Regions from separate parts of the Mus musculus genome. Here regions 2, 3 and 4 are each reported to be linked to region 1. The links are microRNA targets in miRTarBase. Many come from high-throughput screens and were not tested one by one. Region 1 holds a microRNA gene; each other region holds the end of a gene's coding sequence.
What was found. Region 1 holds the annotated microRNA mmu-miR-7b-5p (UGGAAGACUUGUGAUUUUGUUGUU, at 916-939, shown strand). A microRNA usually pairs through its seed, bases 2 to 8, with sites in the 3' UTR of a target mRNA and lowers its output. Matches are read on the target gene's strand: a 7mer-m8 pairs with bases 2 to 8, a 7mer-A1 pairs with bases 2 to 7 and ends in A, and an 8mer does both.

Region 1 (3,104 bases):
GTGTCCTCGAGCCGCACTGACCACCCCCTCCCCCAATAACTAATTATGTTTCAGCACTGGAGACGCGGACAGCGCCATCCGGCTGAGGGACTCGGAGCAGAGTTCGGCTTCAGCACCAGGATTTCGGACAGCTCCCAGCGGGTCACGAAGAGACTAGGCTTCAGCACCCGGCCCCTGGCAGTGCCAAGCTCTCAACACCCAGCTTCAGGGATCGCCTTGGGGTCTGTTCTGGCGGAGAGTGTACAGGGAAGGAACCTCTTAATGGTTCTTGGCATTTGTCCTTTACGGAGGGATTTTTTTTTTCTTTTTTGAAACAGGGTTTTTTTGTGTGTACCTCTAGCTGTTCTGAAACTCACTATGTAGACTAGGCTGGCTTCAAACTCACAGAGTACAGGCGAAGCATTTGGTCAACGAGATGTTATGAGTGCCTCTGGGTGTACTAATTTCCAAAGTGAAGTGGTGAGGGGAAAGCCAGCCTCAATCCAACTTTAAATCTCAAGTTCTTTTTATTTTTAAAAAGAGTTTTTCTCTCAATTATATATATAATTATTATTATTTTAAAACACTGTAGACCAAGCTTTGAACTCCTTGTGTAGCCAAAGATGATCTTGAAGTTCTCATCCTCCTGCCTCTACTCCCTGCGTGCTGGGGTGACAAGTGTGTGCTCCTCGTGCCTGGAACAATAAATCCCACGTTGGTGATGTGCCAGGGTGTGAGTTGGGGGGCAGGTAGAGAATGAATCTTGCCTGTGTCTCAGGGGATGGAATGGAAAAGGGATGTCTAGGGAGGGTAAGTCAGTGAGTGGGGTTTGTTATGCTCAATCCTCTATGGAGAGAGAGAGAGAAGCACTTGAGGGTGTTGAACCTGGCGGAGGAGGATGAGGACGAGGAGCGGAGTACGTGAGCCAGTGCTATGTGGAAGACTTGTGATTTTGTTGTTCTGATATGATATGACAACAAGTCACAGCCAGCCTCATAGCGTGGACTCCTATCACCTTTCTCCTGAAATACACAAACAGGTAGGGGCAGGAAACTGGGACAGGAGGGGGTTAAGGGAAGTCTAGCACGGACAGGAGAGGGTGTCTAGCAAGGTCTCGGGCCCTGGGAGAGTGCAGGAGTGTTTCCCATGCTATTGGCCTGTCACTCAAACACATCTACATGATAGGATCAGAGACACAACCTCAGGGCCCTGGGTCACAGCACCGTGCTTTCTCTGGAGACTCAAATAGGGAATGGTGAGCCAGTGGAGTAACTCAGAGGGAAAGAGTGCTTTGAAATTAGGGAACCCAAGCTTGAGCCCCAGGATCAACTGGGTAGAAGGATAAAACCAACTCCTGCAAGTTGTCCTCTGACCATACATGTCCTGTGACACACATGCTTCCACACACAAATAAATAAACACACATAAAAATTTTTCTTTTTTTTTTTTTTAAGAGAGGGTTTCTGGGGCTGGTGAGATGGCTCAGTGGGTAAGAGCACCCGACTGCTCTTCCGAAGGTCCAGAGTTCAAATCCCAGCAACCACATGGTGGCTCACAACCATCTGTAATGAGATCTGACTCCCTCTTCTGGTGTCTGAAGACAGCTACAGTGTACTTACATATAATAAATAAATAAATCTTTAAAAAAAAAAAAAAGAATTACATTTAAAAAAAAAAAAAAAAGAGAGGGTTTCTGTATATAAACCTGGCTGTCTTAGAACTTACTCTGTAGACCAGGTTACCCTCAAATTCAGAGATCCACCTGCCTCTGCCTCCTGAGTGTTTGAATTAAAAGCATGTGCATACATAAAACTTTTTTTTTTTTTGGTTTTTTGAGACAGGGTTTCTCTGTATAGACCTGGCTGTTGCTCTGTAGACCAGGCTGGCCTCGAACTCAGAAATCTCCCTGCCTCTGTCTCCCAAGTGCTGGGATTAAAGGCATGCGCCACCACTGCCCGGCCATAAAACTTTTAAAAGAGGGATTGGCATCAAAGGTACTTCTAGAAAACCCTGAAATTCTTTTCTCTTTCTTGTTTTCTTTTCCTCACTCTTTTCACTTTGCCTGCTTTGAGACAGTGTCACCTGTAGTCCAGGCTTTTCTCTAACTCTGAATGTAGCCCAGGATGGCTTTGAACACTGAGTTCTCTTGCCTCCAGTCCCTGAGAACCATGCCTAGCATACACGGTGTTGGATTCAGAATTTCAAATGCTTTGACTGGGTACGGTACCCATGGAGCCCCAGCCCAATTTTCAATAAAACTCTGTGCCCGCCACACAAAGCAACCACTAGTTGCATGACTGATACCAAGAAAATGTGGACTTGTTGTCTGGTGGGTCATGGCATTCTTAACATTCAACACCTATCATCTGTGACATTCTAATGCAGTCACTAACCATCCCCCACTGTGCAATTCTCCCCAGCTGTCCTAGTGTGCATCCTGGTGCTGTGACAGGACCTTGACTCAAGAAAAGGGCAGGAAAGAGTTTATTCAGCTTACAATGATGGCCACACTCCATCACTGAGGGAAGTCAGGGCTGGAACCGGGAGGCAGGAGCTGATGCAGAGGCCATAGAGGGGTGTTGCTTACTGGTTGCTTACTTGCTTCCCCTGGCTTGCTCAGTCTTCTTTCTTATAGAATCTGGGACCACCAGTCCAAGGATGGCACCACCCACAATGGCCTTAAATCATTAATCATGAAAATACCTGATAAAGGCCTTTTCTCAATTGAGGTTCCTGCTTCCCTTAAGCTCCACCCGTGTAAAGCTGACATCAAACTCAGTCACACAGCAGCCCAGGGGCTGCTTTGTCCATGCAGTTTCCTCTCTTGGGTCTGCACAGTCCACTCACATAACCTCCCATAACCAACTCTGCCTTCTCCAGGCTTCAGCTCGGTGGGAGAAACTTCCTGTTACCTCACTGGTCAATTAGGACAAGACTTTGTTAACATTCTCAGCCTCCTGCAACGGCCACACTATTTAGGAAAGGCTGATACTCTCAAACAGAATGTTTACAGATCTCTTCTGGGGGACTCTAAGTGGGGCTCCACCCCTGACCATGCCCTCAACTCCTCACTGGGTGATTCTAGGAGACTCCACCACTGAACCTGGCCCCCATCCTTTACTGGG
Region 2 (3,104 bases), not on the chromosome of region 1:
CCGAGTGGGTCAGCACTCAGAGCCCATGGGACCACAAGTTTCTGTGGGCATGACATTGGTACACAATGGGCCACTGTAGCCCTTCCTCCCCCTTTTCACTCCCTACTATGTACCATTGAACCCTGCCCCACACTGTTCTGGTCCCTGGTAGAGGAGAAACATGACATCAAACACTGGGTCAAGTGGGAAGGGTGTGGCTGGAAGCTAGGGGCTGTCCACACACAAATGGGTCTGGACGCTGGGGGCACTGAAATCCCTAGCTGCCCCTCTGATCTCTTCCGCAGGTGGTGTGGTTCTGGGCATCAACGCCAAGGGCGAGCGCCTGAAGCACTGGTTTGACTGCTTGAAGAACAAGGACAAGAGGATTGAGCGTTGGCACACGCTCACCAATGAGCTCCCAGGGGCTGTACTCAGCGACTGACTGTCCCATCTGCTGCCACCCACCCTTGCCACCCGGCCCACACAGGTCCAACCCTGGGCTTTCTCAGCTGCCGCCAAGGGCAAGATCCAAGTTGTCTGCTCGGACATAGACAGTGCAGCCCCTGCTAGGAGGCCAAGAGCACCCAGCCTCCCTCAGAGGGACAGGAAAACACAACATGATACCTGTTCCAGCTCCCTGGGCATCCAAGCTGGCCAGAGCTGGGGGAATCCTCAGCCTCAGCTCCATCCAGAGGAAGGGCTATCTACAGTGAGGACCTATTGGAGGTGAGGGGTGGAGCCCTGCTGCAAGCCCAGAAATGGGGGTACTCTGGCTGCCTGGAGACTACAGGGAGGACAATGGGCAGGCAGAGCCCAGGACTCCAGGACAGACAATGTAGCCAGCCAGAGCTTCCAACTTGCTTGTGCATTGATGGGCAGATAGACTCCGTGAGCCTCTGGGACGGGGATTCCCACTCTAGCAGGGCATCTGGGTGCACATATTGCTACAAAGGGGTGCAGCATACCAGAACCAGCCAGTTGTCTGCAGGGGCTGTGGGTACTGCTGACTGCTGAAGGGTGGAGGGCAAGGAAGGCATCCCATGAGAGTCAGGGCTCAGCACAGTCTTGAAAACCCAGCTGTGGCTTGAAAGCTAGGAGAAAACCAAATACAGAAAAGAGGAGGCCTGAAAGAGGGTACCAGGGGACAGGGAGCCATGGGGGCCTAGGGTTGCGCTAGGGCAGCATTGGGCTTTTAGGCAGGAGCTAGGCTTAGGGATGTGTACAAGCACTTGGGAAACAATGTTCAAACCCAAGCTCTCCCATTTGATCTTGCTCCCAAGGGGTCTCAATGCACACTGCTCCTGTTCTCAGCGTAAATTCCCAGTCAGCTTCAGGGGAATGAGAAAGGGATCCTACTAATGTGGAAAGAAGCAAGCATCCCTCCTGCCCACCTGTCCCTCCCTTCTTCATCCCCTCAGCTCAAGCTGGTGTTAGGTCCTTCACGGCTACCTATGGCATCCTGGCCCTATCAAGACAGTCAGGACCAGCAGTGGAAAATAGAAAGCCTTGTTTGGGGGAAGGTGGAGGGATGGGGGTTCTGCCCTCAGGAGCTGAGAACTCTGGCCTCAGTTTCTAGGAAAGGGTAGGACACTGGTCAGTCTTGAAGCTCCCAACTGCCTCCTGCCAACTGGGATTCAGGAGCACAGGGGGAACAGGGAACCAAGGAGTTCCACCATCATCTCAGAGCCCCATTTTCCTCAATCCATCACTGAGTGATAAGACACTGGGGTCCTGCCCTAAGCCTAGAACCCTCCTACAGCTGAAATAAGAACTCGGGGTCCCAGAACATGATTCCAATCCACAGTGCTCACCAGCCTTCCCTAGTTGGCAGGGAAAATAGGTCTCTAGCTCTCCACAGCACCAAGCCACCTGTTGCTTGTAAGAGACTGGGTTTCCCTCTTTAAAAGGTGTCGCCTGTTACTGAATTGGCAAACGCCTTCTTATTGAATCTTCACCATCCTGTGTGGTGGGAGGCATGGTCAACCCATTTTATAAATGAGATGGCTCCAGAGTTGTTGATAAACTTCCAGGGCCACCACGGTGTGAAGGGCTGAAGCAAAAACTCCAAGCCTTTTGACTATCTGAGGACAAGGACTCTCAGGTCCCTCTCTCCGGAGTTAATGGGGCTTAGTGAGGTCTCTTACAGAGAAGTCTTGTTATTGTCAGCCACCTCACCCTCTAGCTGGCTTTGAAATCATTTGTGCCATTTAGGATTTGCCAAAGGCTACAGCCAAGCCCTGGAACTCAGCTGTCCCACCCCCAGCCTGAGGTCAAGGAACTTGGGGGACCGGCCTGATGTTTTCCCCATACAGCTAGAAACAGGAGCAGATATTTAAGTGCACCTGGTTGAGCTCTGAGTAACTCAGATTTTGCCTTTTGGGGTGCTTTGTTCAGAGAGGAGTTTAGAAACCCCCCGACGATACAGAAATGTTTATTATACCTAAATGTTTATTATACCTGAGGTGACTGAAGCTCATCAAAAGAACAGGTGGCTCAGGTGGACAAGAAACCTGGATCCCTGTTGCACCAGGCAGTAAGTGGGTTTGGGACTCAATGATGATCCTTGCCAATCCCAGGGACAGGCAGGGTGGGAAGCAGGGCTTCTAGCCACCTAAAAAGTGATGGCCACTAAAAAGTGATGGAACTTTCCCGGATCCTGGAACGTTTCTAAATCCCCAGTACATTACATCTCTACTAAAGGGAAAAGGTCCTTTGAGAAGTTTCAGAATCAGTTCAGTCTTTCATTCCAAACGAGTATCTTCCTTCTGGCTCATCAGCGTTGCAAAGAGGAAATTTGATACCAAAAACAAAGGTCATTCCAAAGTACTGTCAGTAACCAGGGCCTCTCTTGATGCCCATCATCCACCTCGCGTCCTGGTCTCTGCCCCGCCCTCCACCACCGTTAGCCAATCCCTGAACAGTCCCGTCTTCCAACCCAGAGTCAGTGACCTCCTGACCTCTAGTGGCAAAAATGAGGAACTGCACCTCCGTGGCCCGCCCGCCCGCCCGCCCGCCCGCCGAGCTCGGGCCAAGCGTCCTGCCCTCCGTCCTTCTCCAGCCAAGTGAATCTCCCGATGCATGGACTCTGGCTGTCCTCGACACGGACTCGTGCACTGCTTACAGTT
Region 3 (3,104 bases), not on the chromosome of region 1:
CACAGAGATCACCTGCCTCTGCCTCCCCAGTGAGTGCCAGGACTGCTTTCTGATACCTGAAAGATATTTGTATTGTTCAATGTCTTCTGTACTGAATGTCCTTCAGTATCTCAGAAAGCCATTTTTAATAATACGTGCTATTGGCATTCTGAGCTATTAAATTGATTAACCTAGGAAAATTCATTGGCCACTGTGAACTCACACTCTATCATGGCCGGAAGACATCCGAGTAATGCAGTCCAGTGTTAGCTTGTGACTGTTGTTTTGTGTATGAATTTTTAAAGAGTCTTCTTTGTTTTATTTCAACTGGGTGAATTTCTCTTTTGTTTGCCGATTATTTAGTTGTCCTGTCAGATATGTGCCTTCCTTAAAAGTGGAAATGATTTAAATAAATGTTAAGGCTATAAAAATAAGAATTTTAACTGTTTTTGTCTTTTTTTCCTCAGTGACACTACCTTCCTGGAAGAAGAATTAAAGAAACTCATTGACGCGCTGATAGAGAATTTTCTTGAGCCCAGTAAGAACGCACTGGTCTGGCGCTCTGTGTAGGGCACATCAGTACGTTATGACTCTGCACTGACATATGGAACGAAACCTTCAAGAACTCCACTCAGTGAACCTTGTGTTAGAATTCTCTCATCTGCCAAGTTATCTTTTCCCTTTTCTTTCCTGTGTTCAGCTGGCTAAATAGATTATATACATTTGAAATGAAAATATTTGGATATGAGTCAAATATTTTCATAATCTTAAGTGACAGTCATTACAATGAAAGTGTTCCAGTGGCACGCTGTTCTTCCTGTATCACAAACAGTACAAAAGTGAGTTTTCATATTGAACTGTGCTTAAGCTTAGTTACGTATCTTGTAATTGTGTATAGCATGGTTTAAAAGAAGTCAAACATTATATAACTATAGGGTTAGTTAAGGAAATTACTTCTTAAAGGTGTTTGTGTGTTTGTGGCTGGGAGTACTGTTCCTGCCTGTTTTTCAAATTAGAAACCCAGCTTGGTGGCATATTCCTGCCGTCACAGCCCTTAGGAGGCTGAGGCAGGAGGATCATTAGTAGGAGGATCATTAGTTAGTTTATGGCTAGCCTGGGCTGCACAGTAATTCTTTGTCTAGGAAGGGAGGGAGGGAGGGAGGGAGGGAGGGAGGGAGGGAGGAAGGAAGGAAGGAAGGAAGGAAGGAAGGAAGGAAGGAAGGAAGGAAGGAAGGAAGGAAAAAATGTTTATAGGTTATTTAGGTTTTCTGATTTAGGACAGATGTTACCGTCTGTGGTTTGGCACCAGTGTTTCGGGTGCCCTTGGTGTGGTGTATATTTACTGTATGTATTTAAGACGGATGTTTACTGAACATAAAACAGTAGTGGCAGCACTCCTCATGGCTTTATTCTTGTCAAATTCCTCAGTGCATTCTCAGGGTCTAGTGGGAACTGAAATGATGTTCCTGTGTTGAATATAACACAGTCCATTTTCAGATAGTTAAGGAAAATCTTCCAAACTATATAGGTGCTTCCTCTATAGGAAACAGATTTGTTCACTCTAAAGATGGTTGTAGAAAAAGGTCTTAATAAATTTTGGCTTAATGTAACTGTAGCTGAGTCTTCCTGCTAGGATTCAGTTATCATAACCTATAAGTGAAAAACTCTGTCCTATGGCATCAGCATGGCATTTATTTGGCAGTCTTTTTTAATTACATTTTTATAGCCAGATTTATTTATCTGATAAGGTAATGCTAATTTTAATAAAAAATGAAACATCAAGATATAAGTATTTTCTACAGCCACACTACCTTGATTCAATACCCAATCTCATTCTCATTATCTCAGAAGCTAAACAAGGCTAAGCACGGTGCTTGAATGGGAAATTTTAGGTATTATGAAACACTGAAACTGAAGTTAGAACTAAGGTCAATTTATTTTAGTATGCTCCATCAGGCTTTGGAATTTCTGATCATATAAATACGTTTCATCTTTTTCAATGCGAAACAGTTTTCAGGAAAGTCATTTGTGGTTGACTCTGTAGCCTTCTGAAAAGCCTAATGGAAAAATACTGTCTAAGCTTTCCAAATTATATATTTCCCCAAATAGTTTACAGAATACACACACTACAGTTATGATAACAGTAGCAAGGCCTTCAGGTATAATCATTTAAGAAAAGTTGCCTATAGGAGACAATACTGATGTTAGATGATTAGTTTCCTAAAAATAAATAATATAAAGCCTATACTGATTGGAATATTAATTAAACCATGGTGTGTTTTGTTGCAGCTTGAGGATAATTTTGGTTGAGCTTATATAATCCAAAGATAGGTTTTACATTATGTTGCCACTACTGCTCTGTGTTCCTTCCTTACTGTCTTAGAACTGGGTCCTACATTATATAGATGATAGCTAGTTAATGTTCAGTGCCATTTTCCTGTATGAGTTTATTTTAGAGGCTTTGTGCTAAAAAAAAAGTAGCATGTAGAATTTTTTGTTTTATTTTTAAAACATTTTGTTGGCTTTTAGGAGTGTAAATTGTAATTTAGGAAATAACATGTATTCTACGACGTGGTATAAAAAAACATGCCCATTCAGTTTTAGTGTCTGTGTCTCAGTGGCCCAAGGACAAAATGAAAACTAAAGCAATGTGACAGCCTGTTTATAACAAGAAAGCCACGCCATGATTGCTATTCACTTGTGAAGAGAATATCTTTGCTTCAGTGCTAAACATACAAGAAATAAGTCATCGTCACGTGACGTTACTGACATTTGAGCCCTTATCTTGAAAGGCTACATCCCAGCTGTGTATAAAGGTTCCCAGAGTGTGTAAGTTGAGGAGACCGTTTGATTCTTGTCTACATTCTTGAGTCTGTCTGAGCATGTTTAACATGAACATGACACAGTGGGTGCACAGGTGCCTAACAGGCTAAATTTAATAACAGCTCAAGATAGGCATGCCAGCCTGTGGGTCTCGACCTTGGAATGATAACTGCATTGTTTATCTCATCCCTCTTTTCAGCAATAGCATGGGAATATATTCTCTTTGAGCAAATAAATCAAAATAAGTAATTTCTGGAGTTCTGAGGAAAAGAATTAGGCTGGAACATAGCTCAGTGGTAAAG
Region 4 (3,104 bases), not on the chromosome of region 1:
TCACTGTGTCCCAGATCAACACCGTGCTCAGTGGCAGGACTAGACGCTACACTGACATCCAGCTGCAGTACAGGGCGCTGTGCCTGAACACCCGCTACGGGACAACAGTGGATGAGGAAAAGGTGCGGGTGCTGGAGCTGGCCAGGCAGAGAGCTGTGCGCCAGGCTTGGGCCCGAGAGCAGCAGAGACTGCGGGAAGGGGAAGAGGGCCTGCGGGCCTGGACAGATGGGGAAAAGCAGCAGGTGCTGAACACGGGGCGGGTGCAAGGCTACGACGGCTTCTTTGTGACCTCGGTCGAGCAGTACCCAGAACTGTCAGACAGCGCCAACAATATCCACTTCATGAGACAAAGCGAGATGGGCCGAAGGTGACAGAAAGGGCCAAGGCCTGGACTTCTTGCCAAAGACAGCTACTCTTCTGTGGCCGTATTCCTGACTGTGTTGTACTTAACAAAAAACAAACAAAAAAACACAAAAAAACAGAAACAAAAAAACAAAAACTTCTTTTTAACAAGTGCAGAAAACAGAACAGAAAGATATTTGTTGCATTGTTAATTCATGCAACATCCTTTTTTTTTTTTTTAAAGAAAGAAAAACACAAATTTGGCCTTCACACTTTTTTTTTTTTGCAAAGAATGGAAGGGTTTTTTTGTTTTGTTTTGTTTTGTTTTGTTTTGTTTTCTGTAGTGTGATCATGATGATAATTTCATTGTCTTTTGTTCCCTTTTTCTCCTTGAGGAATTTTCCCTGTCGTTGAGGATACATTTCTCCTCTCTTGGGGGAGCGCATCTCCTTGGGTGTGTCCACATCCGCCCCTAGGTACCCAGTGTGATGTGAGACACGAGTGTCTGTGCTAACTTGTCTCGTGTGTAACCCTTTCTTCTCTGGCTGGAGTTGGGCAGGAGTGAGGGGTCACAGAGTCACAGGCCCGGTGGGACCTTGGGAGCTCTGGTTAGGCTCCCACAGAAGTGGTGAGTTGCTATTCACCATGTTTTGTGCCTCCTGAGGACCTACATCATGCTCTGGAAATTTCCATGATGCTGTTCAGCACCTTTTCAAGCCACCCCAAACTCCTGTCTGAGCTTTATATTTTGATGCTAAATGAACCCACCCACCCCCCTTTTACAAATCTCTAGTGTAGCTGTCAGTGCCGCCCCCCACCCATAATGAGATAGAGAAAGTGTGTCTCCCAGGCCCATTCCCTAGTCTGGACTATGAGCCCCATCCTTTCCAAGAGGGGAAAGCACCCAGGATGCTGTGAGTTGTTGATCCTCCATGATGCCCCTCGCTCATCTCCTCCTCTCTCCCAAAGTCAGTTGTGAGAACCAGCAGTGCGCAGCAAGCCCCCAACGTTCCCAAAGGGAAGTCGAGGGAACCCTGTCCCCATGGCTTTGGGTTATCTTCCCTCCAGTGCTCGGATGCCACCACTGATGATTGGGAGTGTGGCAAGAGATGCCTTTGATCCTGGAAAGATGTATAAAAGAACAAGTCAGCCAAAGACAGGAGTCAACAAAGGCATGAGCCAAGCACCCTAGCCAGGTCCTGGAGTCTCCTCTGCCTCCCCTGTTCAGGCTATTCCCTGAAGGCTAGGCCTTCAGGAATTTCCTTCTGTGGAATTCTTCATTAAAGAACCCCAGGCAGGAGTGGTTTTGTTTTTGTTTTTAAATAAGAAGAAAGAGCTCTTTGGTTTGGCCTAGCAGGGTCATACAACCCCACTGAGATCAGGGATGGCGGTGCCAGAGCTGGTACCCATGGACCCAGAAGGCCAGGCTAGCATTGTTCCTGTGAAGACCTGTGTACATGGCATTTGGACGAGAGTAGGCATAGGCGCAGCCAGTGCTGGAGGACCGGCCAGAGGGAGCCAGCAGGCCGGGGAAGTGTGGCGGGCAGAGGACTGTAACAAGAGCTAGGAGCTCACTGGAGGATTCCTTTCCTGCTTTGTCTGCCTAGATACCATTGTTATTGGCACTCCCAGTGTCTGGGAGACTGGGGAAGCCAAATGCTTCCTTTTGAGCCGGGCTTCTTAGAAAATGGGACTTTTATGGGTTACATTTACATTAAGTGTGGAAAATGAATTCCGAGTCTAAGCTATTCCCCGTGGGAACCTTGTTGGACTGATAAAGCTCATGGCACCTTTATAGCCTTACAGAGTCTTAAGAATATGACATGAGTTAATGAAACCAAGAAGGTCTCTTACCGCAGGAGAATCGGAGCAGTGTGTAGTTCTGCCTGGCAGAGAGAGGTGTCCAAAGCGTGTTGGGGGAGGGGAGATCTCGCCTTATGTTGTCCCACTGGGATAAGAGGATGTGTTTCGTTAAGTGCTCTTCCTGATTCCAAAAAAAGAAAAAAGAAAAAAAAAATCCGTCACGCTGTTGCAACCGTGTGCCACAGCCTGCTCTATCCACTGGTTGCTCATTGCCTCTGGATCAAAGCTCTGCTGGGTCAGATTTGATGCCCTCTCAGGCCCACAGTACCTAGCGCGAGCTGTAATGCAGACCCCCTTCTGGTATGATCATTCTTGGGTGGGATAGAAAATAGTTTGACCTGAAACACATGGGTTTTTCTGTATCCAGAAGACATATGCCCCTCAAAATGTACGTTTGCTGTAAGGGTCCTGTGGGCAGAGTTGTCCTGTGAGTTGGCCTAGTTGATCTGTCCCATACTGGCTGCCTGACATTGGCTGAGATCCGCCGGGGTCATTTACTTATAAGACAGAGAGACAGCATGTGACCCAAGGGACCATCTCCTTGTAGCTGTCCAGCCTGTGACTTCCTCCTCTGTTGTCTCCCTCCCTCAAAGACTATATTTTTAGGCATCAGTGAATACCATGAGATATGGGGTATTCTTCTTTAAAAGGAATGATCCCATATTCTTCCTGGACTGCCACCCCAGAGAGGAAACAGGCAAGCATCCCTGAGCTGTATAGGACCTCAGCTGTAGGCCAGACAGTGCCATGTGCCTCCCTTGACACTGATGCTGTCCTCCCTGAACTATGACCTTGGCTCCTTTCAGTTGGATTCCACCTCCCAGGTGTGTTTAAAGGCACAGGCCACAGTTCCTTTCGCCCATTTAGGAGACTTTAAATATAAAATGCCATCCTGGACA

Region 2: the mRNA of Doc2b is a reported target of mmu-miR-7b-5p. Seed matches in the 3' UTR shown: 8mer at 2,905-2,912.
Region 3: the mRNA of Pgm2l1 is a reported target of mmu-miR-7b-5p. Seed matches in the 3' UTR shown: 7mer-A1 at 1,491-1,497 and 7mer-m8 at 1,600-1,606.
Region 4: the mRNA of Tenm4 is a reported target of mmu-miR-7b-5p. The part of its 3' UTR that is shown has no 7-base or 8-base seed match.

What each region holds. Positions count from the first base shown.
Region 1 is chr17:56,242,102-56,245,205 of GRCm38, forward strand. It overlaps Mir7b (microRNA 7b), which reads left to right and starts at 887; the gene lies at 887-997. It overlaps A230051N06Rik (RIKEN cDNA A230051N06 gene), which reads left to right. Exons shown (of 2, transcript NR_155493.1): 2 at 55-704.
Region 2 is chr11:75,769,249-75,772,352 of GRCm38, reverse strand. It overlaps Doc2b (double C2, beta), which reads left to right. Exons shown (of 9, transcript NM_007873.3): 9 at 285-3,104. The coding sequence ends at 421. Among named protein-coding and RNA genes, the nearest start is that of Gm12339, 25 kb to the left of the region's middle.
Region 3 is chr7:100,271,881-100,274,984 of GRCm38, forward strand. It overlaps Pgm2l1 (phosphoglucomutase 2-like 1), which reads left to right. Exons shown (of 14, transcript NM_027629.3): 14 at 447-3,104. The coding sequence ends at 549. Among named protein-coding and RNA genes, the nearest start is that of P4ha3, 12 kb to the right of the region's middle.
Region 4 is chr7:96,906,221-96,909,324 of GRCm38, forward strand. It overlaps Tenm4 (teneurin transmembrane protein 4), which reads left to right. Exons shown (of 33, transcript NM_001310762.1): 33 at 1-3,104. The coding sequence ends at 371. Among named protein-coding and RNA genes, the nearest start is that of Gm22226, 12 kb to the right of the region's middle.